3 linked regions of the Caenorhabditis elegans genome follow. The protein of the gene in region 3 purifies or fractionates together with the protein of the main gene of each other region. This does not show direct contact. Each region holds a gene or a part of one and is shown on either strand. Other genes may lie near its edges. The genes, in order: byn-1, riok-2 and tag-151.

Evidence for each region.
Region 1: the proteins of tag-151 (region 3) and byn-1 fractionate together in Caenorhabditis elegans (co-fractionation; one large-scale study listed by BioGRID). This does not show direct contact.
Region 2: the proteins of tag-151 (region 3) and riok-2 fractionate together in Caenorhabditis elegans (co-fractionation; one large-scale study listed by BioGRID). This does not show direct contact.

What each region holds. Positions count from the first base shown.
Region 1 is NC_003281.10:6,925,983-6,936,362, forward strand, and holds byn-1 (Cell adhesion protein byn-1), read left to right. Parts: upstream 1-6,018; 5' UTR 6,019-6,022; coding exon 6,023-6,172; intron 6,173-6,241; coding exon 6,242-6,354; intron 6,355-6,401; coding exon 6,402-6,507; intron 6,508-6,559; coding exon 6,560-6,715; intron 6,716-6,761; coding exon 6,762-6,895; intron 6,896-6,943; coding exon 6,944-7,033; intron 7,034-7,084; coding exon 7,085-7,229; intron 7,230-7,275; coding exon 7,276-7,371; intron 7,372-7,419; coding exon 7,420-7,653; intron 7,654-7,678; exon of another isoform or gene 7,679-7,728; coding exon of another isoform or gene 7,729-8,025; intron 8,026-8,075; coding exon of another isoform or gene 8,076-8,360; intron 8,361-8,404; coding exon of another isoform or gene 8,405-8,716; intron 8,717-8,763; coding exon of another isoform or gene 8,764-8,928; intron 8,929-8,973; coding exon of another isoform or gene 8,974-9,192; intron 9,193-9,239; coding exon of another isoform or gene 9,240-9,296; exon of another isoform or gene 9,297-9,337; intron 9,338-9,545; coding exon 9,546-9,671; 3' UTR 9,672-9,880; downstream 9,881-10,380. Other genes in the region: flap-1 (Leucine-rich repeat flightless-interacting protein 2), read right to left, coding at 1,177-1,253, 1,428-1,601, 1,645-1,734, 1,784-1,843, 2,578-2,694, 2,742-2,828; inf-1 (Eukaryotic initiation factor 4A), read left to right, coding at 4,155-4,217, 4,267-4,539, 4,624-5,043, 5,096-5,347, 5,403-5,603; F57B9.8 (Tyrosine-protein kinase), read right to left, coding at 7,729-8,025, 8,076-8,360, 8,405-8,716, 8,764-8,928, 8,974-9,192, 9,240-9,296; coq-2 (4-hydroxybenzoate polyprenyltransferase, mitochondrial), read left to right, coding at 10,000-10,118, 10,162-10,268.
Region 2 is NC_003279.8:14,650,262-14,661,885, reverse strand, and holds riok-2 (Serine/threonine-protein kinase RIO2), read right to left. Parts: upstream 9,771-11,624; coding exon 9,563-9,770; intron 8,761-9,562; coding exon 7,472-8,760; intron 4,909-7,471; coding exon 4,816-4,908; 3' UTR 4,687-4,815; downstream 1-4,686. Other genes in the region: hprt-1 (Hypoxanthine phosphoribosyltransferase), read right to left, coding at 638-1,137, 2,882-2,987, 4,452-4,490; bath-40 (BTB and MATH domain-containing protein 40), read right to left, coding at 10,865-11,011, 11,426-11,624. UniProt on the Caenorhabditis elegans protein: Required for larval development.
Region 3 is NC_003280.10:4,708,725-4,718,376, reverse strand, and holds tag-151 (Pre-rRNA-processing protein TSR1 homolog), read right to left. Parts: upstream 8,101-9,652; 5' UTR 8,084-8,100; coding exon 7,978-8,083; intron 7,890-7,977; coding exon 7,735-7,889; intron 7,687-7,734; coding exon 5,995-7,686; intron 5,679-5,994; coding exon 5,546-5,678; intron 5,494-5,545; coding exon 5,309-5,493; intron 4,951-5,308; coding exon 4,864-4,950; 3' UTR 4,687-4,863; downstream 1-4,686. Other genes in the region: F41C3.8 (MARVEL domain-containing protein), read right to left, coding at 56-174, 492-776, 831-1,123, 1,179-1,262, 1,561-1,673, 2,271-2,330; F10G7.10 (E3 ubiquitin-protein ligase), read left to right, coding at 3,707-3,826, 3,873-3,995, 4,283-4,579; tsn-1 (Staphylococcal nuclease domain-containing protein 1), read right to left, coding at 8,603-8,797, 8,850-9,652. UniProt on the Caenorhabditis elegans protein: Required during maturation of the 40S ribosomal subunit in the nucleolus.

The sequences.
Region 1 (10,380 bases), on a different chromosome or scaffold from region 3:
AAAAAATTCCAATTTCAAGAATGAAAAACATGAATTGGAAGAAAAGCGTTGTGTCTTCATAAAAAAAATATTTACTACAGCAGAGATTAGTTTTAAACCAAACTTTAAGGTTTTTTAATTTCGGTGATTTTATTTCCGTTTCAAACTAATTTTCTGAGATCAATTAAATCCCGAAAGAACTAAGATCAAAACTTCTCACGTCAAACAAAATGTTGACCTCTTTGCATCTTCTCATTTTTGAAGAAAGCCGTATCTATATTTAGAAGCCTCCCGCGCCGCGTGATTCATCAATATTTCAATGGTTCAATGTTTCTAGTGTTTGTTCTTCTCAACGATGACTTTTTTGCTGCACATCGCGCATTCTTTGGAATAATTTTATTTTATTCTCCAAGATTTTCGAGACATCAACATTTTCAGAAGAAGGCGGCAATGATGATGATAGGGGAAAAAAAGAAGAGGATGAAGACATTTGATTAAGCTTAATGAACGAAAAAGACATACGGACAACAACTTCATCGCATTTTTCCCTTTTTCATGGCCGTCTCCTTCCTAATCAAACAATGCAATGATGACGAATTTAGAAGAAAAAATGTTGAAAAGTTTTGAAAGTCCAAGGGACCATCGGAATACTCTTAGTTATAATATCACCAATCACTAAGATATTTGAAAAAGTCAAACATGAAGTCAACGCGTGGCACATCACAGTTACGAAAAATTGTTCATATTTTAGAATTTGGCTTTTTCCTTCTAACAAGGTATTATTTAAAGGCGAAATAACGGTTTTTAGTGGGGAAATTGTTCAAAGTGACTTCTATAATACTAAAAACCTAACATCATATATATTAAAGAAACTGTTAGCATTTACAGTCAGTTTCAATATACGCATTCAATTTTTTTCTCGAAAACTTGAAAGAAAATTTACAGAGTATTCTAAATATATTTGGAAAAGTGACTCTATCTTTTTCAATCAGTTCTAGACTTTTTTTGAATGCTTTTTTGACGAAAAATTTTCATATATTGCAAAAAAAATTTTTTTAGAAAAATGTGGTTTTTAATGGTTTCTAATCGGTTTGGTCTTTTTTTTTTGGTTTTTTATAAATTTAATTTTTTGGCCCGAAATTTTTATTTTAGTTTCAGAAATTACTAAAACCAGTTTCATGCAAAAAAAAAACTTACATTTCTCCAGAAGCGTTATTCGTTGATTCGGATCCTTCATCATCCGGATCTTCTTCGACAAGACATAGACCATTTTCCTGAAATAATTACTTACAGAGCAATACGAGTAAAACCCCAATTTAAATTTTGCTTTGCAATATTAAGTATATTTTAAAGAGTCTCTTGAAATCAGAACAAAGGACTTTCCTAGCTTCTCAGGTTTTTTTAAAATCGATTTTATCTTTTGCTGGTTTTAACAATTATACGCCCACCTGTATAAGCTGATCTCGCTGTGAAATTTCTTGTTTCAGCTGCTGTTGAGAAGCGTGTAACGCGTCGATGGTCCGTTTTAAAGCTTTAACTTCACTCGTAAGATCACGACATTCTCGAGATGATAAATTCAAGGATGCATCCTTCTCTTCAAGTTCATCTTTCAGAAGATCAACCTGGAAATTAAGATTTTTTCATAAATACTTTCGAATAAAACACCTCATAAAGTAACGTTGATTTCTCATTATCCAGTTGAGAATATAGAAACATGACTTGTTGAACACGATCTTGGAGCTCGATCACTTTATCCTGTGAATTATGAATTTATATATTGTTAAAAACAATTTAGATCACTCACATGCAACTGTTCCTGTGTCTGATTAGATTGGGATGACACTCCATTCGTGTTAGATGTTGACTGCAATTAACAACAAACAGTTTCTCAAAAGGAAAATTTATGTTAATTGGGGTTAAAATATAAAGTAACACGAGAATAGTTAGACATTAATTTAAAAACTTAGATTTTTTTTAATACGGCAGTAGTGAACTCGAACTCTACGAACTAACATTTTTTGGATCTCCAGGAATTTCGGTGTTTATATTACCCAGTCGCGAAAGTTTGCGCAAATAATACGGTACTAGGTCCTGACACGACAATGCTTTGTTAAATAAAAAAGGTATGCACCTTTTAAAAGTACTGTAATATGAAACTTTCGTTACTATGGTATTTTCAACGATTTTTTTTCCTTGTTTTTTCGAATATGAAATTACAGTACTCTTTAAAGGAGCGGTCCTTTTTTTTATTTAACACTAATTTGTCGTGTCGAGAAAGAGTACCGTATTTTGGACGAAAAATAGCGAAATTTATTTTTGATTTTCTAGGATAATTAATTTCGCAAGATTTTTTGATTATAAAAACATTTAAGAAACTTTATTTTAGGGCATCTTAATTTTGCGTGAAAAATCAATAACGAACATGTAGTTTTTCTTTAAAAGAAATCAAGAATAATTTATGGAAATCAGGATACTTTTTGAACTTTTTCAACGAAAATTTATTAATATTAAAAACGAAGGGTTACTGAAAATGAAAAACGTAGTTTCGAGAGTAAAACTTCAACGTCAAACGTGCATTCTCGTTAATAATCGACTTACAGCAGTATCATGACGATAAGCTTCCGCATCTTCTTCAACTTTTTTTTCTAACAACTGATATCTTCCTTGTCGGGCTTGTTCTCGTGTTTCTCGTTTCAATTTCATTCGAGCTTCCGCCTAAAACTTTTAGTTTTTAATTCGAATTTTTCAAATTGTTAAGATACCTCTCTGGAAATTTTGTCTAATGCTCTTTCTTCGGCTTCTGATCGGGTGATAGGTCGCCGGCGACCACTGGATGGGTATGAGCTCATGATTTCTGAAAATTGTATGTGTTTATGGTGTGTGCACAAGAAAGGAGAATTTGAATATTTTAAATGGCGAAAAATCAATAACGAACAGAGAGGAAGCAGCAGTGAAAATGAGTGTAATGTTTCCAACGCGCGTTGTGTCCGCGCGGATTCCGTCTTTCGAGATTTATGTCAATATGTGTGAGGGTTGAGTGAGGAGGAGGGAAATGAGGGAGAACAGCCTTCCGCAAAATTCAGGATTTTTATGGCCTGTGAACATGACAATGAATTTGATCTCTTTTTTTTATTTGATTTCAGATACCTTTTCTTCTCTGTATTTAATATTTATTCTTGTTCACAATACAAAACAGTCTACATAGGTCAATTTCTTCCTAATCCACGAACAATGCAGTTTTTGGCATTTAACCAAGCCCCTAATTCGGTGTCAACAGGTGTTTTTGAAGAGCAGATGGTGTTCTTCTCGTTTCTCTCTTATTCATCGCGTCTGGAACACCGCACGCTGTGCTCTCTACGGCTCTTACTCTCATTCGTCGCGCTCATTTGCCTAAATTGACCAGTCTGCTCGCTGTGCTCTCTCATCGTTCAACCAACATTTCTCACTTTCTTTATGAGGACCTCATACACACTCAGCCTTCTAACTTTCCTTATTATTTACTTTGGCTTCAAAAATCCAAATTAATTTTTTAAATTTCGAACCACTTTTAAGTGCATGTCACTGTCGTCAGTGTTAGTGATTACTCGTCTTTTTTTTACGCAGGTTGCATTCAAAAAACGGAAAAAGTATAGATTTTGAATCTATATCATTAAAATTATTTTAAAAATGAATTCAAAAATGTGTATAACCAAATGTACATAAAAATTATAAAGAATTGAATTGGTCAAATAAAAAAGAGCCATTTTTCTTCAAAAAAAATTGATGGTATGAATGTGCGCTCTAATGAACACTCTCTTCGCTTCGAGACCCGTCACTCTTGTTCGAATGATTTGGCCCGGTTTTGGGGCGGTTTCTTAGCCTCTTTTTAGATTTTAAAGCTTTTTTAAACGTTTTTTATGCTTTTCGTGTTAAGAATATATTTATTTCAAATGCTTTTTCTCAAAAAAACAAAGGTTTTTAGGTCGAAACTTTTCTTTCATTTCTTTTGGATGGGTTTATTCGAAAATTTTAGGATTGAGATACTGTATTTCGCAATTATTATTATTGAAGAACTATTTCAACACCCTTATCTTTGTATTTAATGCTGAAATACTTTCGAAATTTCATTTTACTTCAATTTCAGAAACTCAATCGCACTTCCAAAAGTTAATTTTTAACTTTTCAACCCACCTGTCATGACCGATGTTAAAAATGATGTGAACGTATCTTCGGTGGTCGATGCCGACGGCTTGATCGAGGTTAGTTAATGTACATAATTTATTATAATTTGAATACATTCAATTTTAGGGAAACTATGATCAAGTCGTCGAATCTTTCGACGACATGGAGCTCAAGGAGGAGCTTCTTCGCGGAATCTACGGATTCGGTTTCGAAAAGCCATCTGCTATTCAAAAGCGCGCAATTGTTCCATGCACCACTGGAAAGGACGTCATCGCTCAAGCCCAATCTGGAACTGGAAAGACTGCAACTTTCTCGGTCTCTATTCTTCAGAGAATCGACCACGAGGATCCACACGTGCAAGCTCTCGTTATGGCCCCAACCAGAGAATTGGCTCAACAGGTAAACTTTCTCACTCAGTGTATTTTAGTTATAGATTATTAGCAGATACTTTTAAAGAAAACTTTTCAAAATCTTTCTTTGTAGATCCAAAAGGTCATGAGCGCCCTCGGAGAGTACCTCAACGTTAACATTCTTCCATGTATCGGTGGAACCAGTGTTCGCGACGATCAACGAAAACTCGAAGCCGGAATTCACGTCGTTGTCGGAACTCCAGGACGTGTTGGAGACATGATCAATAGAAATGCTCTTGACACATCCAGAATTAAGATGTTCGTTCTCGACGAGGCCGACGAAATGCTTTCTAGAGGTTTCAAGGATCAGATCTACGAGGTTTTCCGTTCCATGCCACAAGACGTTCAAGTAGTCCTTCTTTCGGCTACTATGCCATCTGAAGTTCTTGATGTCACTAATCGTTTCATGCGCAATCCAATCCGCATTCTTGTCAAGAAGGACGAGCTCACCCTTGAAGGTATCAGACAGTTCTACATCAACGTTCAAAAGGATGTAAGTTTACTCGCCCAGTCTAAGAAATTGTTTTCATGAACCATTTTTTCAGGAGTGGAAGTTTGACTGCCTCTGTGATCTCTACAACGTTGTCAATGTTACTCAAGCCGTCATCTTCTGTAACACTCGCAGGAAGGTCGACACACTCACCGAGAAAATGACTGAAAATCAGTTCACAGTCTCTTGCCTCCACGGAGACATGGATCAAGCTGAGCGTGATACAATTATGCGAGAGTTCCGTTCAGGATCTTCCCGTGTTCTCATCACCACAGACATCTTGGCTCGTGGTATTGACGTACAACAGGTAAGTATAAATATTTGTGTTTATAATTCAATACTATGGAATGTATATATTTTAGGTCTCACTTGTTATCAACTATGATCTCCCATCCAATCGTGAGAACTACATCCATCGTATCGGACGTTCTGGACGTTTCGGTCGTAAGGGAGTTGCCATCAACTTCGTCACCGAGAACGATGCTCGTCAGCTCAAGGAAATTGAAAGCTACTACACCACTCAAATCGAAGAGATGCCAGAATCAATCGCTGACCTCATCTAAATTTTAATCCAATTCCGATCCCCTCCACGATTGTTCCACACGCTTTTCCCTTCCTCTTGTTTCCTCATATTTATCCATGTTATCTGTTTTCTCCTCCACCCCCACCGTCCCACATTTTTATTTTATGCGTGATTTCATCTTTTTAATCACCCCTTTTTAGTACTGGCCCTATCCCATCCAACTTGGTTCAAACATTCTAATTCTCTTTCAATTTAGAGTTTAGTATTGCCCCCTAAAAGTTATAGAGCCACCTTGGTTTTGTTTGACAAAATGTTTTTGTCTGGCGTTCTCTTTTTCTGGAAAATAATGAAATTGCGTATGTTACATTCATTTTAAATCTTATGAACAGGCTTCTGATCCTTTCAGAATATATTGAACACCGTAATTCTGCTAATTTTTAATTATGAATTTCCAGTAACATGGTGAAAAGGAATTTGAAAGGAAGGGGTGACAAATTATCAGCCAATGCTCCACTGGATAACCAGTTGGAAGCTGGTAAAGTTGCAAAGCAACGAGATGAGCTTCGCGAAAAGCAGAAGAGAAAAAGGGAAGACTCGCAGACAGACGAGGTCAGTAAATATTCAGGGAAAATTAAATATTATTTTCATTGACCAGAGAGTTCATAAAATTAGTTTCAGTTCGTTCCTGATTCGCTCTCATCAAAAATCTTGAATGAAGCTCGTAAGCAGCTTCTCGAAGAGGCACTGGAAAGACAAGAAACCGAATCAGCCACATCTAGTGTTCCAAAAAGGTAAATAAACAATTTATCATAATTCAATGCAAGTATTTCTGTTACAGACAACGCGGAGCTTGGCTTGGAGCTGATGCATCCGGCGACAAATCGGACGATGATGATGATGATAATGAAGAAGAAGACGACAATGGATTTGAAGATCAAGTTGTTGTAAGTAAAATCTATTTAGCTTCGTGATAATAATGTTAAACTCCATTTATAGGAACTCGATCCTCGAGATGAAGCTGATTTGGCTAGATTCCTCAAAAAAGATGCTATCCAAATGTCCACACTCTACGATATTATTCAAGCCAAAATTGAAGCTAAACAGAATGATGCAGAGCTTGCACTCAGCCAAGTTGATCCGAATGAGTTTAATGTAATTTTTAAGCATCGAGCCTTGAAGCATAACAAAATGTTTACAGATGCGTGACATGGACCCAGAAGTAGTTGAGATGTATGAGCAGATTGGACAGTATATGTCAAAATATCGCAGTGGAAAAGTCCCAAAAGCATTCAAAATCATTCCAAAAATGATTAACTGGGAGCAAATTCTTTTGTTAGTTGTCTGTTAGTATCGGATTTGAATAAAATAAAACATATTCAGCCTCACAAAGCCTGAAACTTGGACGGCTGCTGCTATGTATCAAGCCACAAGATTGTTTGCGTCGAACATGAACCCAAAAATGTGTCAGAGGTATTTAAATGCCGATTTTAGATATATCAGCTCTAAAACCGTTTGATTCAGATTCTACACTCTTGTTCTTCTCCCACGTCTTCGTGACGACATTGATGAATTCAAGAAACTTAACTATCATCTGTATCAAGCCCTCTGCAAAGCTATCTACAAGCCTGCCGCTTTCTTCAAAGGATTGATTCTTCCATTATTAGAAGTGAGTTTAACTTAAATATTTTTCATGTATATTCTTTTTTTCTCAGTCTGGAACATGTACACTTCGTGAAGCTGTTATCTTCAGCTCTGTCCTCACCAAAGTCCCGATTCCAATTTTTCATTCCGCTGCTGCTATGCTTAGGGTAACTTTTGTTTTAAAATATCTCATCAAAAACCTGTTGATATTTCAGATTGCCGAAATGGAATACACTGGAGCTAATTCCGTGTTTCTTCGAGCTCTCATTGATAAGAAGTATGCTTTACCGTATCGTGCAGTCGACGGAGTCGTTAATCACTTCATTCGTCTGAAAACCGATGAACGAGATATGCCAGTTTTGTGGCATCAGTGTCTTTTGGCACTGTGCCAGCGATACAAGAACGATTTGAATGCCGAGCAGAAGGCAGCTATTTATGAGCTGATCAGAGTAAGTTTAATTTTTAAAAACTATTAAAACTTCGAGTTTTATTATCACGAGAACATCTAGTTAGGAGAGTTATTTTCATGGCTTCTTCAGTCTCGAATCCTTACCAGACAATGGACCCGAACTAGGCCCAGAGTTGCCACCTGGACCGTTCGATGCGCTTGACGGTTTCTTCTTGTTACGTCTTCCAGTCTTTTTAGCAGTTTTATCTCTCATCGGATCTGACATTGGTCCAGTAGACATCATTTTTGCACGGAGCTGTCCTGTCGACTTGTTGACCGAGGTTTTATCTTTCTTTCCTGTGATTTCGTACATCATCTGGACAACTTGGCTCATAGTGGGGCGCTGTTGAGGATCGCGAATCCAGCACTTTTTCTGGAAAATTCCACATTGCTATGAAAATAGTGGAATGAAATAGAACTTACAATAACATCGGCAAGCATAGCTGGAGCCTTTTGACTAATCGGCATACGGTAATCATCGCGTCCAACCTTCTGATGTACCTGCACCACCAACATCTCCGGATACGGCTGAGCTCCATTCTCGATCACCTCCCAGCAGAGAATCGAGAAAGCAAACACATCAGTTTGTGGAGTATAAAGGAAGGAAACGATCGTTTCTGGTGAGAGCCATCTGATTGGAACTCTTTTGCTCGGATCCATCTGATACTCCGTTCCAACTCGAGATAAACCGAAGTCAGAGACTTTAGCCTGAACGTTATTAGTTATTAACTTTTAAATTATTTATAACATACAACGCCTTTTCCATAGAGTATGTTTCTGGCCGCAATGTCCCTGTGTATAATGTTTTTGCTGTGAATGTATGCCAGACCAGCTGCCACTTGTGCGATTATATCCAGTTTCTCAGGCCATTGTACCGATGAATTCTTCTGAAGATATTTATCCAGAGCACCACCAGGAACTAACTCCATGACTACTAGCAATGGTTCATCGATTGCAGCCACGCCGTAACATTTTACAACGTTCTTGTGATCGAATCCGCGCATCAGACGTGCTTCTGTGATGATCTCCTTGATTTGTTCTTTAGTCACTTTTTCAAGTTTTGCCTGAAGTTTCGTCATTACTTTTTATATAAAAGTCTAGTCCAACTCACAACTTTTATAGCGACATCTACTGTAGTCGATCCCATTTTCAGCGTCCCAAGCTTTACTTCTCCGAAAGCACCTTCACCAAGAACTTTTGTCATTGTAATATCGGCGTGATTCAGTTCCCATGATTGTCTACCGATAGGATTCACTAGAACACTGCTTGCAACTTCCTGAACAACAATAATTAGTCTATAATGTGCATGAATCGCTCGTACCTCACTAATTTTAGCCTGTTTGTGATGATTTACTAACTCAGTCAATGTTCCAAATTTAATTTTATCAGTGATTGAATATGCTCCGTCGCTTGTACGAATCACATAATGAGCAACTTCTTGACTTGTCTCGTTCTGCATCACCGAAATGATCAAATGACGTGCTTGTCCTTGAGGCTCTGACGTTCTCATCAGATAATCGCCATTTTTTTGAAGTAAAAGCTGAAAAAGTCGGTGCTCCTTTTAAATAAATATTACTCTCAAATTACCTTTACTTCTTCTCGTGGAAGAAGTCCGTGAAAGAATGGTTGCTCATTGATCTCCATTGCGCCAATTATGTGAAAAGAGTGTAGAATTAATTTCTACGATTATCGAAATGATTAAAATTTCACTTCTGATCGATCTTATGCGTGTTTTCTTCTTTTTTTTAATTTTTTTCCTGGCGTATGGGTTCACATCATTGGTCACGTAAATTTTTTTTTCATAATTATAAAGTTTAAGTCAGGTAATTTCCGAAGTTTTATGGTCCCATGAGTTCAATGTTTCCATTGTTTTTAACCAATTTCAATTTATAGTTCCATGGACACTATCTCATCTCGCCTGAAATTCGCCGTGAGCTCGAATCCAAGGAAACCGAAGACGGACATGTTATCACTTCAGTTGTGGTCGAAGGCCGAAAGACGGATAGTATGGAATTCTAAATCACACACAAACAGAAAGAGACGCAGAAGAGAAATATTTCCCGCTTTCACTCTATTCTGCACGTAGGCTTTGCTCTTTTCTTCTATTTCCATTATTGTTCGTTTCCCCGCGCCCCTCCCCAAAAATTGTTCATTTCTTTGTTTTTTATTCATCATTGTTGGTTATGTTACTCTCTTCCTCATTCAAATGAAATTGTTGTTGATTTTCTAAATACAAAGTATTAGTTTCAAAGAGCAAAGGTTTTCGTCCCTAACTTAATGCTTGTTTTTTCAAATTCATGTTATCATGTCTTTGACGAGAGAAAGTTTTCAGATTCGTCAAAAAAAAATGATAACCAGGTCAATAGGTATCGCTAGAAGATCCAATTCGATTAATTGCATTGTTGGATCAAATACAAGCACTTCATATAGTTTAGATGAATCAACAAAAAGATGGATTTCCACTAGGTTCAGAATTCGAAAATTTTAATTTTAATTGTTATAATTTTAGTACAAAACAACCAATGTCACTGATACCAACTGCAAGTAGCCTTGTTGCTTCTTCTCCGCCAAATTTGAAGCCATATCTTCAACTGATGAGAGTCGACAAGCCTATCGGTAATTTATTATTACACAGACGCGAAGTTTTGGGAGTTTTGCGCCGAAAATACGATACCTAGTCTCGACGCGATTAATTTTGTAAAATACAAACAAATGTGCGCCTTTAAGA
Region 2 (11,624 bases), on a different chromosome or scaffold from region 3:
TTCGTTTAAAAAAATTAATTTCAAGCTATATTTTTATTTTCCTCGAAATTTTTTTTCTAAATTCTAATTTCTCGTGGATTTTGAATTTTTTCGATTAAAAAACTGAAAAAAAATTAAAATTATCAGAATGTGTAAAAAAATTTTTTAAAGCTATACTGGCAAAACGCGGTATTTTGAAAAAAGATTTTTTAAAAAAATTTCAAAAAAAAAAAAAAGCAAATGAAATTTCTCGACCATCGATTTTTTTTAATCGGAAAAATTTTGATTTTTCCCAAAAAAAATTAATTAAAAGCAATTTTTCTTGCAATTTTTCTCTCTATGGAATTTTAAAAAATCTACGGTTTCTCGTGGTTTTTGCATTTTTTTTTCGATTAAAAAATTGTGAAAAAATTTGGTCATTTCAAATATTTTGTAGGACAAAACCTTGACGGTCATAATACACCGAAAATTAGAAAAAAAAACTACAATTTTGAAGCAATACATGTATATTTTTAAAATAATGTATATTTGTTTTAAAAAAATTAATAACGAATTTAAAGCAGATCACAGTGTAATTAGGAATAGCAGAGCAAAAAAAAAACAATTAGACATTCAAAAATTTCAATTTTTTTTTTCAAAAAAATTGTAAAAATCCAAATTATTCCGATTTATATTTCTCAATTCCAGCAGGGCTCATGACACAAATATGTCCGAGATCTCGGAATTTCTGATTATAATCCAATCCGTAGCCAACAATAAATTTGTCAGGAATCTCAAAAGCCACGAAATCCTCTGGAACATCCACGACACGTTTGACACGTTTCGACAGGAGAAGGGCGGTCCAGGTCTTCTCAACGCCCGTCTCATGTAAAGTTGAGAGAAGTTTTGCAAGAGTTCTTCCGGTATCCGAAATATCATCCACAACGAGCACACTTTTCCCCTTGAGCTCATCCAAATTCGATAGTCCCATTATTTGAATTTGTCCAGTACTCATTTGATCCTCGTAACTCTTTACTCGAATAAAATCGACAGTCATTGGTTCAGGACACGATGAGCGAGCATTTGTGAGCTCTTCGACGAGGGCAGTGAAGAATTTATAGGATCCTTTGAGTACGCAGAGCAGCGCGATTGGTTTGTTTCCGATTTCAGCGTGGATGTCTGAGAAAATTATATGATTTCTGATTTTTTACTAAATCACTGCAACTTTTTCCTCACGAGGGACGAGGAAAAGTGGTTTCTAGGCCATGGCCGAGGGGCCGACAAGTTTCAGCGGCCATTTATCTTGCTTTGTTTTCCGCCTGTTTTCTTTTGTTTTTCACAGCTTTTTCCCGTTTTTTCTTATTAAAACTGATAAATAAATATTTTTTGCAGATGCTAAAACAATTTCCAAGTAAAAAAAATCATGTATTCAGTGGGCAAGCAGCGGTGAAAGTGGGCATTGTAATATGATGGATTACGGGAATACAAAACCTAAACTTTTCCCCAAACATGATACATATGCTGCTTAAATGCTGAGACTACCTGATTTCCATAATGAGACGTCTGAAAAAGTATTGAGATTTTCAAAATTCAACTTTTTGTGCGAAAATCTCGACCTTTTCACCAAAAAAGTTGAATTTTGGAAACCTCAAAACTTTTTCAGCGGTCTCGTTATGAAAATCAGGTAGTCTCAGCATTTAAGCATCATATGTATCATGTTTCAGAAAAAGTTTAGGTTTTGTATTTCCGTAATCCATCATTTTACATTGACCACTTTCACCGCTGCTTGCCCACTGAATACATAATTTTTTTACTTGGAATTTGTTTTAGCATCTGCAAAAAGTATTTATTTATCAGTTTTAATAAGAAAAAACGAAAAAAATCGATGAAAAACGAAAGAAAACAGGCGGAAAACAAAGCAAGATAAATGGCCGCTGAAACTTATCGGCCCCTCGGCCATGGCCTAGAAACCACTTTTCCTCGTCCCTCGTGAGGAAAAAGTTACAGTGTAAATCGAAAAACGAAAATTTTCCGGTATTTCTAATTTTTTCAGATTTTTCTAAAATTAGCTTAAAAGTTTGATGACTAGGTTTTTTTTCTTCAATATAAACAAAATTAGAAAAAAAAAAAATAGAATTTTCTGATCAATTTTCCAGCAAATATAAAAATCGAAAATTTTTAGAAGTTTTTTCAAAAAAAAAAAAAAAATTTTGGCAGTTTTTAGAAGAAAAATTTTTAAAGAAATTAAAGAAATAATATTGAAGCAGAAAGTCTTGTTTCTGAAAATAATTGTTTTTATTCGAAACTTTTCCGTCATCGCATTTCTTCAATTTCTTCAAAAAAAAATGTATCAACGAAAAATTGTCCATTTTCGGATTTTCCGTAAAAAAAACTTCTAAAATAGGAAAATTTTTTTAGTTTCCGAAAAATCTGAACAAAAATCGAAAAATCGAAAAAAAAAATTAATCATAAAATTCGATTTTCTAATCTAATTTTGTTTATATTGTTAAAAAACATGAGAAAAATTAAAAATGTCTTCTAAAAAGAACAATTAGAACACAAAATTTCAAGGTAATTTTAGAAAAATCGAAAAATAATTCGAAATTTCGGAAAATCGAAAAAATTCCGTTGACACTTTTTTAGAGGAAAATTTGAAATTTTTCTGTATTTTTTGAAATCCTTCAATCCAAGCTCCCTTATACTTGAAAATGGAAGAGCTGGAATCCTCTTCCACGGCCCTGTGTGTCGATTTACGCAGCCCTCGTGTACTCTTCGAGGAGGAGAAGACGATTTTACAATTGTCACGTAAATCGACACATGGCCGTGGAAGAGGTTTCCATCTCTTCCATTTTCAAATTTGAGGGAGCTAGAAGTCCGTTGTAGGGCTATTAGAGAGAAATTTTTAAATTTTAACTGTTTTTACCTTTAGCCAGACGACGAACACGATCTCTAACAAGACCTTCCGGAATCACGACACCGGATAAATCACCGTCATAGCAGATTGGAATGTCGAATGCGTCGACTGGGAGCTGCAAAAATTAAATATTAATTTAAAATTTTACAATTTCGCCATAATTTTGCAAGAAACGACGTTTAAAAATAAATGAAATTGCACATTTTTAGCCCAAAAATCAATTAGACTACAAACTACAAATCTTTCTAGCCTCAACCATGTTGAAAATGTTCGAAATTTCACAAAATACTTGAAAAAGTTGAAAATTTTTGACTGAAGATTGCAGATTTTAACTATTTTAGAACAAAAATATGGATAATATTGTTCTTTTTAATTGTTGAAAACTAGTTTTTCTGGGCAAAATTTTGGAAAAAAAAACGTAATTTTTAATGAATTTCTGCTGATATGAGGAGAAACGGTTGCAAAATTGTGAGTTTTTAGCTGAAATGGATAGAAATCGAGAATTTTTTGTTAAAAAAAATGTCAAAAATTAACTGAAAATCACGTTTTCGGTCAATTTTTGGTTCACACTACAAACTACAACTTTTTCTAGCCTCAACTAACTTTGATGAAGCTGAAAACTCTTGTAGTTTGTAGCCTGAGAGCCTCACCAAAAAAACTTAAATTAGCGAAAATTCAAAATTTATGGATATTTAAGCATTTTTCTTGAATTTTTTTTTTGTCTCCAGCTGCTAAATTATAAACTTCCTGCAGTTTTTTTATTTCAGTTAAAATTCAAAAATCTGAATCAAAAAATTGCTGGAAAAGTGAAAAGTTGGTTGAGGCGTCAGATCACAAACTACAATGTTTCCCAGCCTCAACCAACTTTGGTGAGGCTGAACATCATTGTAGTTTGTAGTCTGAGAACCTCACAAAAAACTAAAAAACTGTTTAAATTCAAATTTTATAGAATTTTAAGCCTGTTTCTTGGATTTTTTTTCGTTTCCAGCTGCTAAATGTGAAAATTGCTCTCGAAATCGTGGCAATTTTCATTCGAAATTCAAAAATCTGAATCACAAAAATTGATGGAACCACCGTTTGTTGCGGTGTCACACTACAAACTACAATGTTTCCTAGCCTCAACCAACTTTGGTGAGGCTAAAACTCGTCGTAGTTTGTAGCCTAGGAGCCTCACCAAAAACTAAAAAAAAACCTGTTTAAATTAAAATTTTTTGATTTTTTTTTTGTTTTCAGCTACTAAAGCTTGGAAATTTCATGCACATTTGGCAATTTTCATTCGAAATTTTTTAAAAATCCTGAATCAAAATTGTTTGAAAAAATTTCTGGAAAAGTTGGTTGAGGCGTCAGACCACAAACTACAATGTTTCCTAGCCTCAACCAACTTTGGCGAGGCTAAAACATCGTTGTAGTTTGTAGCCTAGGAGCCTCACCAAAAACTAAAAAAACTGTTTAAATTCAAATTTAATGAAAATTTAAGCACTTTTCTTGAATTTTTTTGTTTCTAGCTGCTAAATGTGGATATTTTTCTCGAAATCGTGAAAATTTTAATTCAAAATTCAAAAATCTGAATCACACAAACCTCAAAATCATCAGGAATGACAGCACGAGTTGGAGCCATTTTCGAAAATGAAGAACTATTTTTCTGAAAAAAAGAAAAGTGTGTGAATGGTTATTTAAAAGAGACAATATTATCTTATCAATCAAAAAAAAAAAGAAGATTGATCAGATTATCTTATCAGTTGAAATAGACGGCGCGACGATGAAAGTTACGAACGTGTCAACGATAAATGTTGCATTTTAATCGAAAAAAAACGCATCATTTCGTTTATATTGAAGGGGAGAAGTTAACAGAACAAAAAACATATAACAATGGTAATAATAACAGGTGAAAAAGAATAGAAAAAACGAATTTTCCGGGAAAAACGAGAACAATTATTAAATCATCAAATCCATCCAGCGTACTCGGCAATCACATCTTTATTGTCTTTTCGGTTACGGCCCACTGCGCTTTGCTTTCCTTTGACCTTCAGTCGAATCTGGAATTTTTGGATAAATTTTAGAAATTTTTGTGGTATATTGATTTATACTGAAGGTTGGAAGGATTTCAGAATTTTTTTAAAAGAGTTTTACGAGTTTGGAAGGAAAATATTAATAAATTACAGTAAAGTAGAAATTAAATACTTTTTTATTAATTTTTGAGATTTTTGTGAATTTTTTTTTTTGTAAAAAAACGTATTTTCCAAAAAATTTAAGGATTTCACAGTAAAAAAAACTAATTTTTAATGTAATGATCAGTCGAAAATTTCAAGAAATTCCAAAAAAAAAAGATAATTGAAAATTTTTGCAAAGTTTCACACAGAAAATTTTAAAAAAACGAATTTCAGACAAAAACTGGCCACGCCCACAAAATGGACGATACCGAAAGAATTCCTATATAATTTTTTGCAATGTTTCAGATACAGAAATTTCGAGAAAAAATATTGTCAGACAAAAACTGACTCCGCCCATAAAATTGTCGGTTTTCTAAAAATTTGAAATTAAATATATGATGACTTATTCCAAATTTTAAGTACGTTTCTATGAACAATATTTCAAAATCAGCAAACTAAATTCTTTTTAAAGCAACATTTTTTTAGAATGACAATGAAACACAAAATTCAAAAAAAAAAGCGAATTTAGGACAAAACCTAGCCATGCCCACCACAAAATGGATGCTCAAACGTGCAATTTTCAAAAAAATATAAAATAATTACTATGATGCCGCGTAAGTGATTATTTTTCAGAATTTTTTCAGAATTCGCTTTAAAAAAAAAGGAATTTTAGACGAAAACTGGCTCCGCCCACAAAATGGTCGGTTTTCTAAAAATTTTAAATTAAATTTTTTTCTATGAACAATATTTCAAAATCAGCAAAACTAAATTTTTTTTAAAGCAACATTTTTTTAGAATGACAATGAAACACAAAATTCAAAAAAAAAAGTGAATTTCGGACAAAAACTGGCCACGTCCACAAAATGGATGCTCAAATGTGCAAAAATTCAAAATTGCACATTTGAGCAAAAGTTTGAACAACTCCGCCCATTCTGAAATTTCGAAAAAAATTTTCACAACAAAAACAGTCTTCGCTTATAAAATGGCACTTTTGGTACAAAAATGACCAGATTTATACCGTTTATACCGTTTATTATTTTTTGAGTTTTTTTGAGAAAAAAAGTTTTTTGTTTTTTTTTAAAGTTTTTAATGAAATTTTTAATCGAAATTTTCAAAAAATTCAAAAAAAATTTGATAATTGAAAATTTTTGCAAAGTTTAACACAAAAAATAAAAATATATATTTTCAGACAAAAACAGGCTCCGCCCATAAAATGGATAAAATTTCCACGATTCTACGTGGCTGAACATTTTTTTGTTGCAATGTTTCAGGTACAAAAATTTCGAGAAAAAAAATTTGAGGCCCCACGAAAAGGGGATCTGCGAAAAGGGGAGCTGGCACTGTGCCAAACGCACAAAACGCTTTTTTATTCTCATTCAACGCACGACTTTTTTTTGTATTTTACGCTAAACAACGCGCGCGATGCGTAATAACGGAGTGTGGTTATAACAAAGTCGTGCGTTGAATGAGAATAAAAAAAGCGTTTTGTGCGTTTGGCACAGTCACTGCAACTTTTTCCTCACGAGGGACGAGGAAAAGTGGTTTCTAGGCCATGGCCGAGGGGCCGACAAGTTTCAGCGGCCATTTATCTTGCTTTGTTTTCCGCCTGTTTTCTTTTGTTTTTCAAAGCTTTTTCCCGTTTTTTCTTATTTAAGCTGATAAATAAATACTTTTTGCAGATGTTAAAACAATTTCCAAGTAAAAAAATTATGTATTCAGTGGGCAAGCAGCGGTGAAAGTGGGCATTGTAATATGATGGATTACGGGAATACAAAACCTAAACTTTTTCTGAAAAATGATACATATGATGCTTAGATGCTGAAATTACCTGACTTTCATAACGAGACCGCTAAAAAAGTTTTGAGGTTTTCAAAATTCAACTTTTTGTGCGAAAATCTCGACTTTTTCACCAAAAAAGTTGAATTTTGAAAACCTCAAAACTTTTTCAGCGGTCTCGTTATGAAAATCAGGTAGTCTCAGCATTTAAGCAGCATATGTATCATGTTTCAGAAAAAGTTTAGGTTTTGTATTCCCGTAATCCATCATATTGCATTGCCCACTTTCACCGCTGCTTGCCCACTGAATACATAATTTTTTTACTTGGAAATTGTTTTAGCATCTGCAAAAAGTATTTATTCATCAGTTTTAATAAGAAAAAACGGGAAAAAGCTTTGAAAAACAAAAGAAAACAGGCGAAAAACAAAGCAAGATAGAAGGCCGCTGAAACTTGTCGGCCCCTCGGCCATGGCCTAGAAACCACTTTTCCTCGTCCCTCGTGAGGAAAAAGTTGCAGTGACAGTGCCAGCTCCCCTTTTCGTATCTCCCCTTTTCACAGATCCCCTTTTTGCAGATCCCTTTTTTGGTCTGCTCCCCTTTTCGTGGGGCCTCAAAAATTTCAGACAAAAACTGGTGCCATTTTTTTTCTCGATTTTCGGTACAAAAATGAGACCTTTTCCTTATTCCTCTTTCTATCCAAAGCCAGTCGCCTCTTAACATCTTCAGCCGTAAACGTGGCAGCACTACTGGCAACACTTCTGGCTCCACTTGGCACTCTCTTCTTTTTCACAACTTTTGCCACCTGCTCCTCAACTGCCACGTGGCCATCCGCGTCCTCTTCCTCCCCCTCCTCCTCATCTTCATCATTTTCATCGTCATTTTCAGAATCGGCTGGACGCTTAAAATCCTCCGGCGGCAACTCAATATCCTTATAACCTTCCTCCGATTTCAGAGCATCAAGATCCACGGCTTCCAGTTGATTTGTGGCGTCTGAGAGCCAATCTGTGAAGCGTGTCGTCTGGGAGAGCACGATTTTCTGCTGTTTGACGGTGTTCTCCTGAGCCTGGAGCTCTTCGTGGTCTTTTTCGAGATCCTCAGGCTCTTCCTGAATGTCTTCCATAGATTTAGAGTCATCGGAATCATCTTCATCTTCCCCCAAATCCTCCTCCTGCCGATTCCTCAATTCCTGCTCACAATGTGCCAAAAAATCGCCTTCATCGTACGCTTTATTCAAATCCAACGCCATTTTCTTGGTGAATCCCGACGCTTCGAGCAGTACATCCATATTCCCTTTCCGTTCAACTTCATCAAATTTCGGCCAATCCTCGCTTTCATAGTCGAATTTTCGTTTAAAAAACGTCCGAACACATGTGACATCTCGATCGAAATAATATTCCGCATTCGGATGATCAATTGATACCATTTGTGGAAAATCAATCATCACAATTCGCTCGTCTTCCAGCATAATTAGGTTGAATTCATTGAAATCTCCATGAATAACTCCGTGCCGAGCCATTTTCACGATAAGAGCCATAAGTCTGTCGTAGAGGGCGCCAGCGTCTTCCACGTGGGTCACATTGCAGAGAGTTTGACCAACAACTAACTGCATAACGACTAAATGTCGACATACATCCACAGCTTTTGGTACAGGAAATCCCCGCTCTTGAAGAGCTTTCAAAAAAGCAAATTCCTTCGCAGCGGCCAGACGACTCAAATAAAGCCACGAGGCGCTCTTTCTCTTCTTGTGATAATCACGTTTCTCTTTGATTTTCCTGAACGACGTGCGACCCAATCTATGGAATTTCAGACAAAGATCGTTGAGCTCCGGGTCACCACCGACGTACACATCCGACTCTTTTCCGATTCCGATTTGATTTCCGACACTTCCGACGACTTCACGGGAGCACAGGGCTCGAAGGGCGAGGTAGTCGTAGCCACGGATTGTGAGACGGTAGCCATCAACTGAAAATATTATTTATTTTGATGGAAATAAATGGAAATTGTTAAAATCCAGCTGATTTCGCGTTGGTTGAGGCTAAAAAAACTCAAAATTGTAGTTTGTAGTCTCTGCGCCTCAACCAAAAGCTTTGTAATCTAAACTTTAAATTGAGATAATGCCTACATTAGTTGGAAAACGCACAAGAATTACTGGAAATTTATCAAAATCCAGCTGATTTCGCATTGAGAGAGGCTCATGGACTACAAACTACAACTCAAATTTCAAATTTTAGCCTCACCAGTGTGTGGTTGAGGCCAGAAAACTTGTAGTTTGTAGTCTCTGAGCCTCAACCAAACACCTATTCTTCTAAAAAAAAAGCAATTCTTGAAGTTTCAACAGGATTTTTCGCTTTTGTAAAACTAAATACCACGATTTTCACGGAAAACCAACAGAAAACATGTTCTAAAACTATAAACTACATTTTTCAGCCTCAACCACGAGTTTTAGTTATGGTTGAGGCTAGAAAATGTGTAGTTTGTAGTCTCTGAGCCTCAACCAAACGCCTATTCTTTAAAAATGCAATTTTTGAAGTTTTATCTGGATTTTCGCTTTTTTTTTAAACTAAATACCACGATTTTCTCGAAAAACCATCAGAAAACATGTTCTAAAACTATAAATTTAATACATTTTTCCGTCTCAACCACGAGTTTTCGGTATGGTTGAGGCTCAAAAGGTTGTAGTTTGTAGTCTCTGAGCCTCAACCAAAACTTTTTATCACTCAAAACTGGAATTTTCAGCCGTTTTTTGCAGGAATTTCCTCCTTACATTTCTTGCTTCTCTCAAAAGCGACCAACGAGTGCTTGCACAAGTCATTAAGCGTCCTGGCGACACCTCCTCTATGAATTCCAGCAATTGCTGACACAAGAGCCAACGGAACGACCTCGTGATTCTTCATGCCCATCTCGACGGCGATCAGTACCCGGAAGTGATCACCTTCCAGGTATCGCATCATCGAAACGTTCATTCGACCCATCTGGAATATAGATTTTGAAAACTTGAATTAAAATTTACAAATTAGGAAAAAATAAAGCGGAAAAACAATTTTTATCGATAATATTGTGTTAATAAATCAATTTAAATTAGGAGTCCACTGGAAAACCACTTAAAAATTGCGAAATTCACGAAAAATCCATGTTTAGCCTAAATTTTCCAGTTTTCCGATTTTTCAGACCGAATTTAACATTAAAATTGTTAATTTTTACTGAAATTCAATTAATTAACCATAAAAAATGATGAAAAACTTCGAAAAATGAGCTGAAAACATGAAAAATCCTCGAAAGAAAAAGGAAAAACAGAATTGGCTAAGCCCCGCCCACAAAAGTGTGCCAGGCTTGCAACGGATTTTTGGTGAACGCTGAAATTTTTGCATTTTCGGCGAATTTTCAGCGAATTTTTGGATTTTTTCTACAAATAGGAGTTGTTAATTATATTTGAATATTTTTCAACAAAATAAGTCACAAAAAATAAAGGAAATTGCACTTTTCCAACGAAAATCTAGTTTGACGCCCCGCCCACAAAACCGTGCCAGGCTTGCGAATTCATCGTAGACTCTCTCAATTCTTTTCTATTTTTTTCATGTAGAAATTCCTGAATTTAACCATCCAAATTCGTTCGAAAAAACCCAAAAAAAAACCAAATCGAAGAGCTTCATATACACAAAAATCGATGGCATACGATAGGAAATAAATGAACGCGCGCTGGTGGTGAACGGAAAAAAGGTACAGAGGAGAAGCCGGTGAAAAAGGGTGAATCTGTGGTGAGGGCGGTTGAAATAATGGAAAACATATCACCGGGGGGGGGGGGGATTTGTGAGGGGGAACTGTCGCCGATGAAGCGGTATATGCAAAAAAGGCGAAACACACACACAAATTGTTGAGGCGGTTGCAAAATTGAAAAAATGGTTTAAGAGGTGGATAAAACGAATGAGAGACGACGACGGAGAATGAGAGTGAGAAAATCACAGCGAATTTTTCGAGAAAGAGTTCAGAATTGGGGGATTTAGAGGAGAGAGAAGTATGACTAGAAAGTATCTATGAAAAAGAGCGGATTTTGAAAAAGAATTAGCTGCTAAACACGAGGTTTCTTGACCGGCGGTGACGAGTTATCGTTCGATTTCACCATCTTTTCCAGCAAGTTGCTCGCCAAAACCGGCTCATCGCTGATGAAGTTGCGCCATGACGTCAGAGCCATTACATGTTGACGATTGTGGATTGCCTGGAAATATTTTAATTATTAAATGGAACAAAATCGTTGTAGTTAGTAGTTTGAGCCTATTTTTCTGTCAAAATGTCAATTTTTCTCCATTTTCAGCTGGAAAATCAGATCAGAAAAAAAGCATTTCACAATAATGGTTGAGGCTAGAATAGACTGTAGTTTGTAGTGTAAGCCTCTACCAACTGTGTTTTATAAGCATTTGGGTGAGGCTGAGAGACTACAAACTACAATTCGATTAGCCTCAACCATGGAATTTCGAAGTATTGTTAGGCTAAAACATTGTAGTTTGTAGTCTAAGCCTCAACCAACATTGCGAATTACAAGTTTGGTGAGGCTGAAAAAAGGTAGTTTGTAGTGTAAGCCTCAACCAACAAGAAATAAGCAAATTTTGGGAGTTTTCCGTTTAAAACTTACAAAATCAACGCAAGCATCATACAAAACATCAGTATTATATCGTTCCGCATGTGTAATACACTCGAGCACATTATTCACATTGAGCCGGTCCAACAAATGCTGCTCACAGGTCATTTTCAGCGCCAAAATCTGATATTTTTCGGCGATTTGCATCACATCGACCGCCTGATAAACGTCGATATCCGATTTGATGACTCCA
Region 3 (9,652 bases):
CTGTAATAAGACATATTTTGAATTTATTTTAAAATAAAAAGTGAGATGAGTTTACCAAAAATGCGGTGCAAGCAAAAAAGGCAGACCAGTAGATTGTTGGATCGCAGTAATGACGTTCGAACATTCCCTCGTTGAAGTGAACGAATGCTTTCGAGCCATACACCCAAACGCAGCCTGTAATATTATTTTTCTGAATTTCAGAAATACCACAAAAAAACTAAAGAATTCGAGCAACATTATTAACCTAAAAAATCGCAATTTTGCTCCAAAATTAGATCTTCAAACCGACCAATCAGCGATTAGCTTCGCCCACTTTTCCACCAATTAGAAGGAGAGGGCAGAGTTGGAAGAAGCTGATTTGTTTAAAAATGAGTGTAGCTTCTCGTTTTGGAGGTAATTCATTCAAACTGATCGAAAATTCGCGTTTTCAAACAGATGGATTATCTCCCAAGTTTTGGAGCAAAATTTCTGGAGCATTGTCGGTAACTCACCCAAAATCAGCCAAACAATATTGGCAAGTGCGAAGAGAATTTCCAACCCTTTGCACAATAAGCTTGCTCCGAGCTGTCTCTGTTGTCTGCGATAGGCTGTTCTCCTAGGCGTTGGAATCAGGAAATATATACGAAATGTCGCAGAAATTATAAAGAGCACTCCTTCGACTATCAACCATATTGGGATCATTGGTTGAATTGCACAGAATGGAGCGTTTAGAAGACCAAATATAATTAGTAGAAATGCGAGAAGACTGAAACAGCTCAGAACCGCTATACTGATTTCTGAAATTTTTTGGATTAGAATTCCAAAGTCAAAAGTAGAGAAAAAAAACTTACGATACGGAATTTTCTCATTGATATAATCACTCAAATTCTTTGCAAACTCTACAGTATCCCCAGACTGCGAATAGACATCTGAAAGCTTATCGTGTTTCCGTCGTGATTCACTCGAATCTGCTTGAGAATGTGTCGTTGGCATATAGACTGATGGTTGTAGATGCCCATTCGTCTGAAATCGCACGGGACGGTCTTGAGGCGGGAGAAGGGGTCTTTGAGAATTTGCGGAACTTCGGTTTGATGTGTTAACACGGAGGGGTGTGGAGCCGGATGAGTTGTAGCTTTGAGAGCCCCTGGAATTTATGTTTTGGAGGGTTTTCTCTACATATTTTGAAAATTGAAACTAACCTAGGAAAAGGATTATTCGGTGGATGTTGTGACATTGAGCTTGACGGTAAAATTGGTGTTTCTACTTTTGATACTGGAGTTGATCTGGAAAATGTATATTATTTGCAAATTTTTGAGCATTTTTTATCGGGAAAAATTCTATAAAGATAATTTTGCTCGAAAATCTACGGACTAATTATGGAATTGCTCACAAAATTTAGACAAGTAATTTAAAGATTTTTTCCAAATTGAAATTGGTTTCGTAGGTTTAACATATTTTTGGCATCCATCAGATATCTTCCAAAAACTGAGAAAACATTACATTTCAGTTTTTGCTTGAAATTTTTAAAAGTTTTTCTTATAAGTAAACATTTCTTGTACGTCCCTGAAACCCGTGACTCACCCTGAACTGCTCATATCAACTCGAAGCTTCTGCGTTCCTGGAGACGGAGTGTGTCGCATTTCGCCGAATGCTCCCATCCTTTCGGATGTTGCCATAGAATTTCGTTGGGAATACTGAAAAGTTTCGGTTATATGACATTCGAATTTGTTTATTTTGAGAGTGTCACTGGAAAAATTTGATTTGAAAATTTTCAGTGCATGTTTTTTTTTAATTCTTCAGAGGCTCGATTGCTCAAAAATTGTTTTTGCATAGTTTTGAAAATGGTTTCAAAGATGATAATAGTAAGGGTAGGGAAAGTTTCTTGGAACGTTGAAGAATTTTTTTAATTTGTTGAAAAAAAAAAAAACAAAACACTTCCAAAAGATCAACTGAAAAACATTTTTTAAACACTCCAAAAGAACATATTTTGGGCAATTATTTATACCACTAAACTAGAAAAAAAGCACTGAAAAATGATTCAGATCGAACATTTTGGGGTTGAAGCTTTCAAGATAATACTACTTGCTTAAAAATCAATACACGCTATAATAATTATTATTCTACCGCAAAACAAAATGAGCGGTGAAGGAGAGAGGGTGAGGAGATAGGAAACTGTGTAGTTATATGGTTTGATGGGTTTCCTTCTTCTTCTACTCGTTTCGCACCAAAAAGTCAGTCGACCATGTTGTTTGTGTATGTGCAAACAAATACCGTCAAACGAATATGCTTACCCCTGCGGGAAACGATGTTTCATTCTGTGAGATTAGAGATCCGAAGGACGTCGTTGTCATTCTGGAAATGTTTGGAATTACAACACAGACACAAAGAATGAGAAAAGTTTCAAAACGAAGTGACGGAAATTATTTCTAGCTTCGATGTGTAACTGTGTATGCCAAGAGCAAATAATGTTGTCTCGTTGTGTCTGCAGCACACACTATCTCTAATTTCAATTGTCACACGCTCATACGTGTGGCGAAATAGAAATAGACCAGTGAAATTGAAATAGAGGTGAAGGTGACAAAAATAATCAGGAAAAACGTTTTTCTCCCGAAAAAATTAAACTTGAGGACCGTCCGACCTTTTCAGCTAGCAGCGAAAAGCCACCATAAAGAAAAGAAAATAAACAAAAACTGTGAAATCGATTCAGTCGTGGAATAAATAAACAACACAATGATTCACAGGCGGCATCAGAAACGGAAGAAATGGAGGAGGGTGGTCTGGAAAAGCGGGGGGAGTCTCGGGTGGCAAAGTGCGGTAGAATAGATAGGAAAGGTTATGTAAACGTATACCTAAAATATAGCTGCTTGGTGGTGGTGGACTACTTGAAAGCTATGAAGAATGGGAATTTGTAAGGGAATATGTCGTGCAAAAAAAATAAAGAGAAGCCCAGATTTGGGCGGGGCTTGCTCGGAAATGTTTACTATTACATGCTAACTGATACGATTGTTTGATAATTTTTCCAAATCGAAAAATAAAATTTGAATAATTTGTTGAGCTATCACACTTTTAATTATCTTTTAAATAATTATTACCCGTTCGCCAGAAAGTCCGATTTTCACCCCAAATCACTGCCTCGGGTCCTGACACGAACGAAACTTCCCACATTTAAGGTACATCCTGGGTATGGTAGCTAAGACGTTTTCCTCGTGCCAAGACCCGCCGAGGTAGGGATTTTGAGTTTAAAAAATTGTATTTTTTTCACGAACAGTTATCTATGAGACAAAATTTTTTTAAAGAATTAAAAAATCCAGAACTAGAAAAAATATTTTTTGAATAAAAAATCAAAGCTCAGCTTGAAATAGGTGTACGCCTAAAGTCTTGAACCAAAGCCTAAACCTAATGCAAGACTTAAGGGGCCTAAGAGTGAAGGCACTAGTTTGAAGGCGTAAGCCTAAGCTTAAACCTGAGCCTAAGCCTATGCCTAACCCAAAGCCTAAGCCTGAGCCTAAGCCTATACCTATGCCTATGCCTACGCCTAGCTTCTGCTATTCAACAGAAAAGTCTCCCAACTCCTGTTTAGAGCACTTTGAGTGTTTGTTTGCATTTGAAAAACCATGTCGAACACTTTGACTTTTCAATGAACTTCCGAGTTCATTGAACACTATTTGTGGACTTTTTTTGTAGATTTCACTACACAATCTGTACTAAAATACAGTTTTTTCTTCAGTTCCAACCGTGCATCGTCGAACCATTGGCGTGGAAACCTCGGCGAATCCTCAAGCCACCAACCAATTTCGATGAGCTTTTTGGCCGATATTTCCATAGAGAATGCAACAAGTGCTCATCGGTATGAGATATCTGTCGAATTTTTTAAAAATTCCCAAATAATTCAGGTCCCATCTTACCCAGTCATGTGCCTTTTCTGTGGAGAAATTCTTTGCCTGAACGATTGTTGCCGAATGGCCCATCAAGAGTCGGGAAGTGATCGGGTGATCAGTATGTCGGAGATTGAGGCGGTAAGATTTGAATGGAAATGCGCTCTACGGTCAATTGAAAACGCTCCGCCTCCAAAGGTTGGGTCTCGTTAGGGTTGCAACGAAATTGCAACGTTTTCAATCATTTTCGTTTTTTTTTTCAAGTTATGTAAATTTCGACAATTTTTTTCGATTAAAAACATTGAAAACATTTGAATTTACGGTTTTCCCGCCAAATACCTAGCGAGACCCAACCCTTGGGGGCGGAGCGTTTTCACACAGATTTTTCTGCGTCCTTATATTTTTAAAACTGTTTTCCCTATTTCCAGCATGCCGAAGACTGTTCCTCATCGTCGGGTCTCTTCCTTTCCGTGACGTCATCAATGGTTGTAGTGTCACGTGGCAAACAGGCGGCCATATGGGGTACGATCTACCTGGATGCTCACAAGGAAGAGGATCGGAATCTGAAACGTGGAAAGCCGTTATTCCTGTGCGAATCGCGGCTCAAATGGCTCGAGTACGATTGGGCTGAGCAGGAATGGCAGCGGGTTCCACAATGGTTCAATATGACGAATTCACAAGCATTTACCAGTAATATTCGGGATTGTCACTTGTTTCAACGCTAGAGCTATAGAATTGTTGTGGAAAATTATTAGATGACAAAAAATTGTAAAAACTCAACTGGCTATTTAGATTCTCTAGCTGTACATGTTTTTGTTTTCTTTTCGATAAATAAACATTTTGAATTTTATGTCTCGAAACTTTAACAAAACAAGAACATGGGAGCACTGAAAAGAACGGGAAAAAGTTAACAAAAACAAGAAGAAGAAGCGATTGGAGCTGGGGAAAAAACAACAAGATAATATGAGTTAACAGAAAATTTGAAGAACACAACAAATAACATTGGAATCTATTCCTCCATAGCATCCTCATTGACAAGACTGATGCTTTCGACTCGAGAACGTTCAACGAAGCGAGATGGGTTCAGGGAGCGGTTCTGTAAAAGTTAAAAGATTACAAATAGGGTTTTTTAATTAGAAATATTCCAAATTTGCCCCTTGTTCCGAAATTTTTTTTAATTCATGCTGAATTCAGTTTTCGATTTTCAGAACTTTTTAGTTTTTGTTTAAATTCCGACAAAACTGAAGGAAACTCGTTGAAAAACTGAAATCAGAATAAAATAAAGATTTAAAAAATCTCGTAAATCAAAACTGCTGTGAAAATTCGGTGTTTGAAAAAACCTTGGACGACTTCAAGTTGAGATAAAAACTTTTGAAATTTTTAACATAGATGTTCGGAATCCAGGGCAAGTTTGGAGTAATTTTTTTTTTTTAATTTCCAGAATTTTTACGTACAAAAATAGAATAGTTCCAGACGGGGAAGACCCGTTTGTAGAGATTAAGCATCACAGAATCTTGGGCATTCAATTGCTGATCGAATCGGCATTTCATGTTTCCATGAGTTCCAACGGCTTCCTTAATATGACCACGACGTCCGGATGGTGTGTACAATTCGACTGGTTTGAACCATTCAATGTCTTCTGGAAAGTGGGAAAAATGAAATTTTGAAACTTTGAATTGAAATTGCCGAACCTCTATTAAAGAACATGTATCTGACAACAACGGCGCGTCGATTAATTTTGTATGGATGACCGGCGAGAACAGTTCTTTTGAGCACAATTCGGTCAGGATTGCTGTCGAGAATCGATCCAGTGGCAACAAGTTCCTGAAACGTTTTTCTTTTAATTTTTGATGTTGTTCCAACATTTTTCATTTATAATTAATGTCAAAGTATGGTAAATCACTAGATTTTTTAAGAAAATGTTCAAAAATGTCATGAAACTTGGCAAAGCCAAAGCTCGAAAATGCGAAAATCGGCAATTGACAACTTTTAGGCAATTTTCGAACATTTTCTCAAATTTTTTAGCTAAAATAAATGTTATTCTCAGAAAAAACAAGTGATTATCTATAATTTTAGGATAATTTTAGATGAGAACAACTTCGTGCAAATAATTTCATTTTGAACCGCATTCTATTCTTACCTGCCTTCCCTTATCGTCCTGTCTAAAGCACAGCACCGTTGCCGGATTGAAAGTGATCGGCGCGTAGACTGTCGCCACAAATGTCTTCTCAGTCGGCATAAATCGTTCCAACTTGAACTTATCGCCAGGTGTATTCGATGAGAAAACGGCGTTCGCCTCGAATTGCCGGAATCCAACATAGAAAATGAACTTTTGATTCTGATCCGAAGTGATTGGAATTGTGCAAGATGGATGTTTCTTCAAAACCATATTGAGAACAGACATTTTATGCTCGTGAGGCAGCAACTGGAAGAGCACCAAGTTTTTGGCGTCTTTGTAAGCTTCTAGGACGGCGACTGGAACATTCTCGATGAAAACACTTGCAAATGCTCCATTGAACTTCTTATCGGCTACTGAATCTGCATCTACATCATTTCCACCAATCTTTGACATCACATTCTTCTTGGTGTTTCTATAATTTGCAAATTGGAAAATTCTCGCATAATCCAGTGGAAGATTCTCTTTCGGGTCCCAGGTAGACGTTCGGAAACTTTTGAGTCCGCGGTATTTTTGGAAAGCAATTCGAGCTGGCATATCCATCGGTGTATCCACCTCATCTGGCCATTGAGCATTTTCACGCTCTTTTCGGTATTTTTCAACTTCTGCCATATTGATGTCTTCATCAATTCCATCATCAAACATCATTTCAGATGCAGTAGTTTCACCGGCTTCTGATTTCAAATCATCCATAGGCTCTTCTTCTTCAGAATCATCCTCTACTTCTTCATTATCACTATCATCCATATCCTCATCGGAATCTTCTTCGTCTTCGTCATCCTCGTCATCCAAAATCCATGCTGCTTGATAAGACGAAGTTCCTTTTGGCACACGACGGAGCTCCTTATCAGCTTCTTCAAGTTCTTCCCGAGTTGGCCATGTTTGTTCTCCGTCCATAGAATCTGGTGTGATCTCCGTTTCTGTGTTCTGGCGTTTATCATCAGATTTGGCAATTATCTGAGCTTCTGGCGTTTTGTTGTGTGCTTTTAATGGATGAGGATCGACTGTTGATTCGATTTTTGAGATTTGAAAATCACCGAATCCTGGAAGATGAACCAAATTGTTAGCATTCCATTCAGGACCTCTGAGATATCCCTGGGCGACGAGTGTGCAAGTTTCTCCAGTTTTGTCCGAGCATTCCAAGTTTTCAACAAGCATATAAGAATGTCTGGCTTGAAGAGTCAATGGCTTCTTTTTAGTTTCATTCAAGATTCGCAAAAGTTGAAGGTTATCTGTGACAGAATCAGCTGGCATAACTCCAGCATTACTCATACTCCATTTTGAAATGATAAATTCGATTCCTTTTCTAACATCTTCCTTCTTCTTGTGATTTGCAATACTCCCAAGTCCTGGAACAACACTAACAATTGTTGGAAGTCCATTTGCTTTGATAATCGTTAAAAGTTGCTCATCCCATTCGGAGAGCTCTGCAGACATTGGCCACAGAAAACAAAGCACATCAGATGCTCGAATCGCATCAAGAACACCATCAACATTATCCTTATCTGGAGTAAGGAATGATACACGAGATTTGAAGCGAGGAATCGCAAAGTCAATGGTGGATGGAGAAGTCGTTTGAATAATTGTTTCGTCACATGTTGCCAGCTTTTTGATGAACTCTGTTGGGCGAGCTCCAACTCCGAGAGAAACGACAGTCTGAAAATTGTCGTTTTAATACTAATTTCCAAGTTGAAAAAACCCTACCACTAGACACGGAGCATTTGATGTTCTGCGTCTCTCCATTGCATCCGCCATTTTTTGATCTCTCGCCATTTTGAGCTGATTACGTCGAGCATCTTTGGAGATGGTACGGTGGGTGGAATGAGCAGAACGCGTGAGCTGTTTGACACCTTCTCGTCCTGAAATTCGAAATAAATTTAAATAAGTGTTTAATAGGGAAAAAATCCCTGTGAAGCTATTTGAAGGACTTTTAAAATCGGTAATTACCTCGATTTTCAGATGTAATCTCTCCTTTCGTCCGTTTTCCTTTCCAAGACTTGTGGGGCTTTGAAGGTTTCTTGAACACTCCCGCACGATGGCCAGTTGTACTCATCTGGTAAATAATTGTTTCTTTATTTAAATTTCCTTTACTTTAGAATACTTAGATAAATCATAATTAAGTACCTGGAATAATAACCAACACCAACTGACAAAAAAACCTGAATACTTTGAAACTACAAGGCAATAAATTATTCATTCCATGCAGATTACAACAGTGAATTTTTTAAACCGGAAAACAATAAATTAGAGCAATAAATATATATAAATAAATACTCTTCAGAATATGTACTCGAAAAACCCAACAAAATTGTGGTGCAAAAAGGGAAAAGGGGGGGGGGGGGGGGAGAAGAAGTCGAACCCGGTGGAAAGTAGGAAAAACGAAAAGATACGTAATTGAACAAGAAACAAGAGAAACCACCACCGGGGGCGATCTCTGAATAACTAGAATCGGGTACAATACATCACAGTTACACTCATTAATAAAAAAGAATATGTGTTGTGAGGATAAAACTTTTCTGGTTGGGGGAGGGGCAGGGCAGGGTTCGAATTGAATAAAATACTGAGTAGACATTTAGATATCATTTCCGGTGAAATCTCCGTACTCCCAAATGTTCTTTCTCGACTTGCGAGCAACTTCTTCGGTAGTGTTGTAGTCATTGACAAGAGTCTGCAGGCGTGGCTCACGGCGGTGATCAGCAAGAGCGAGTCCCTCAGCAATAAGAGATTTACCGATGTCGACCTTCTTGTTTCCACTGTCGTAATAAACCTGAAACAATTTTTTGTAATATTTTGAACATTAAAAAGAAATTAAAACTTACAGTTACATATTCTGAAGTTCCGACCTTGTACTCACTGTTAATGAATACCGAAGAGTGACCAAACAAGTACTGGGCGAAAGCATCAGAAGTGAGTTGGACGTAATCCTCGTTTGGAAGCTTAGCAAGAGCAAGGTTATATTCTCTAACTCCAGCTGGGAAATTGGCAAATCCTGCTGGAATTTGAGCAAGCTTGACAGCCTCAATTGTCTCACGATTTCCGTAATCAATGTAAACAATCTCTGCTTGCCCAGCACGAACGCTCTCGACCTTGCAACGGTACCATTGTCCATCCTGAGAGAACTTGGCAACGCACAAATCTCCACGCTTGGTGGTATAAGATCCAGCGAGTGGTGGATGTTCGGCAAGAGCTTGTCTCATCTCGGTTGTCATCTTTTCAATTTTTGGCCCATCTTCAATGTTTTGAGCCGAGAAACGAAGAGCTCCTGGAGCAATATCAGTAACAGCGACTTGACGGAAGTTCTGCTTTCTCTCAGATGTATCTGCCTGTTGTACTTCAACTTCCTCTTGGTGTTGCTCTTCCGTGAAGTTGGCCCAAATGTTCTTCTTAGCTTTCTTAGCTTTGTTTTCGGCGGAAAGAAGAGCGTTGTAATGCCCACTTCGCTCAGCTGTGAAGTGAAGAGAAGCAAGTCCATTCTCTACAAGAGCTTCGCTTAGATTGATTGCTCGTGAAGTATTTCCATCTGGAGACACATACAAGTATCCAACAAAGTTTCCATTCTTATCGGTGCTCTCTACTTCTAGTTGAACCTCGTGTTGGAGGACAAGCTTTCGGGTGAATGCAG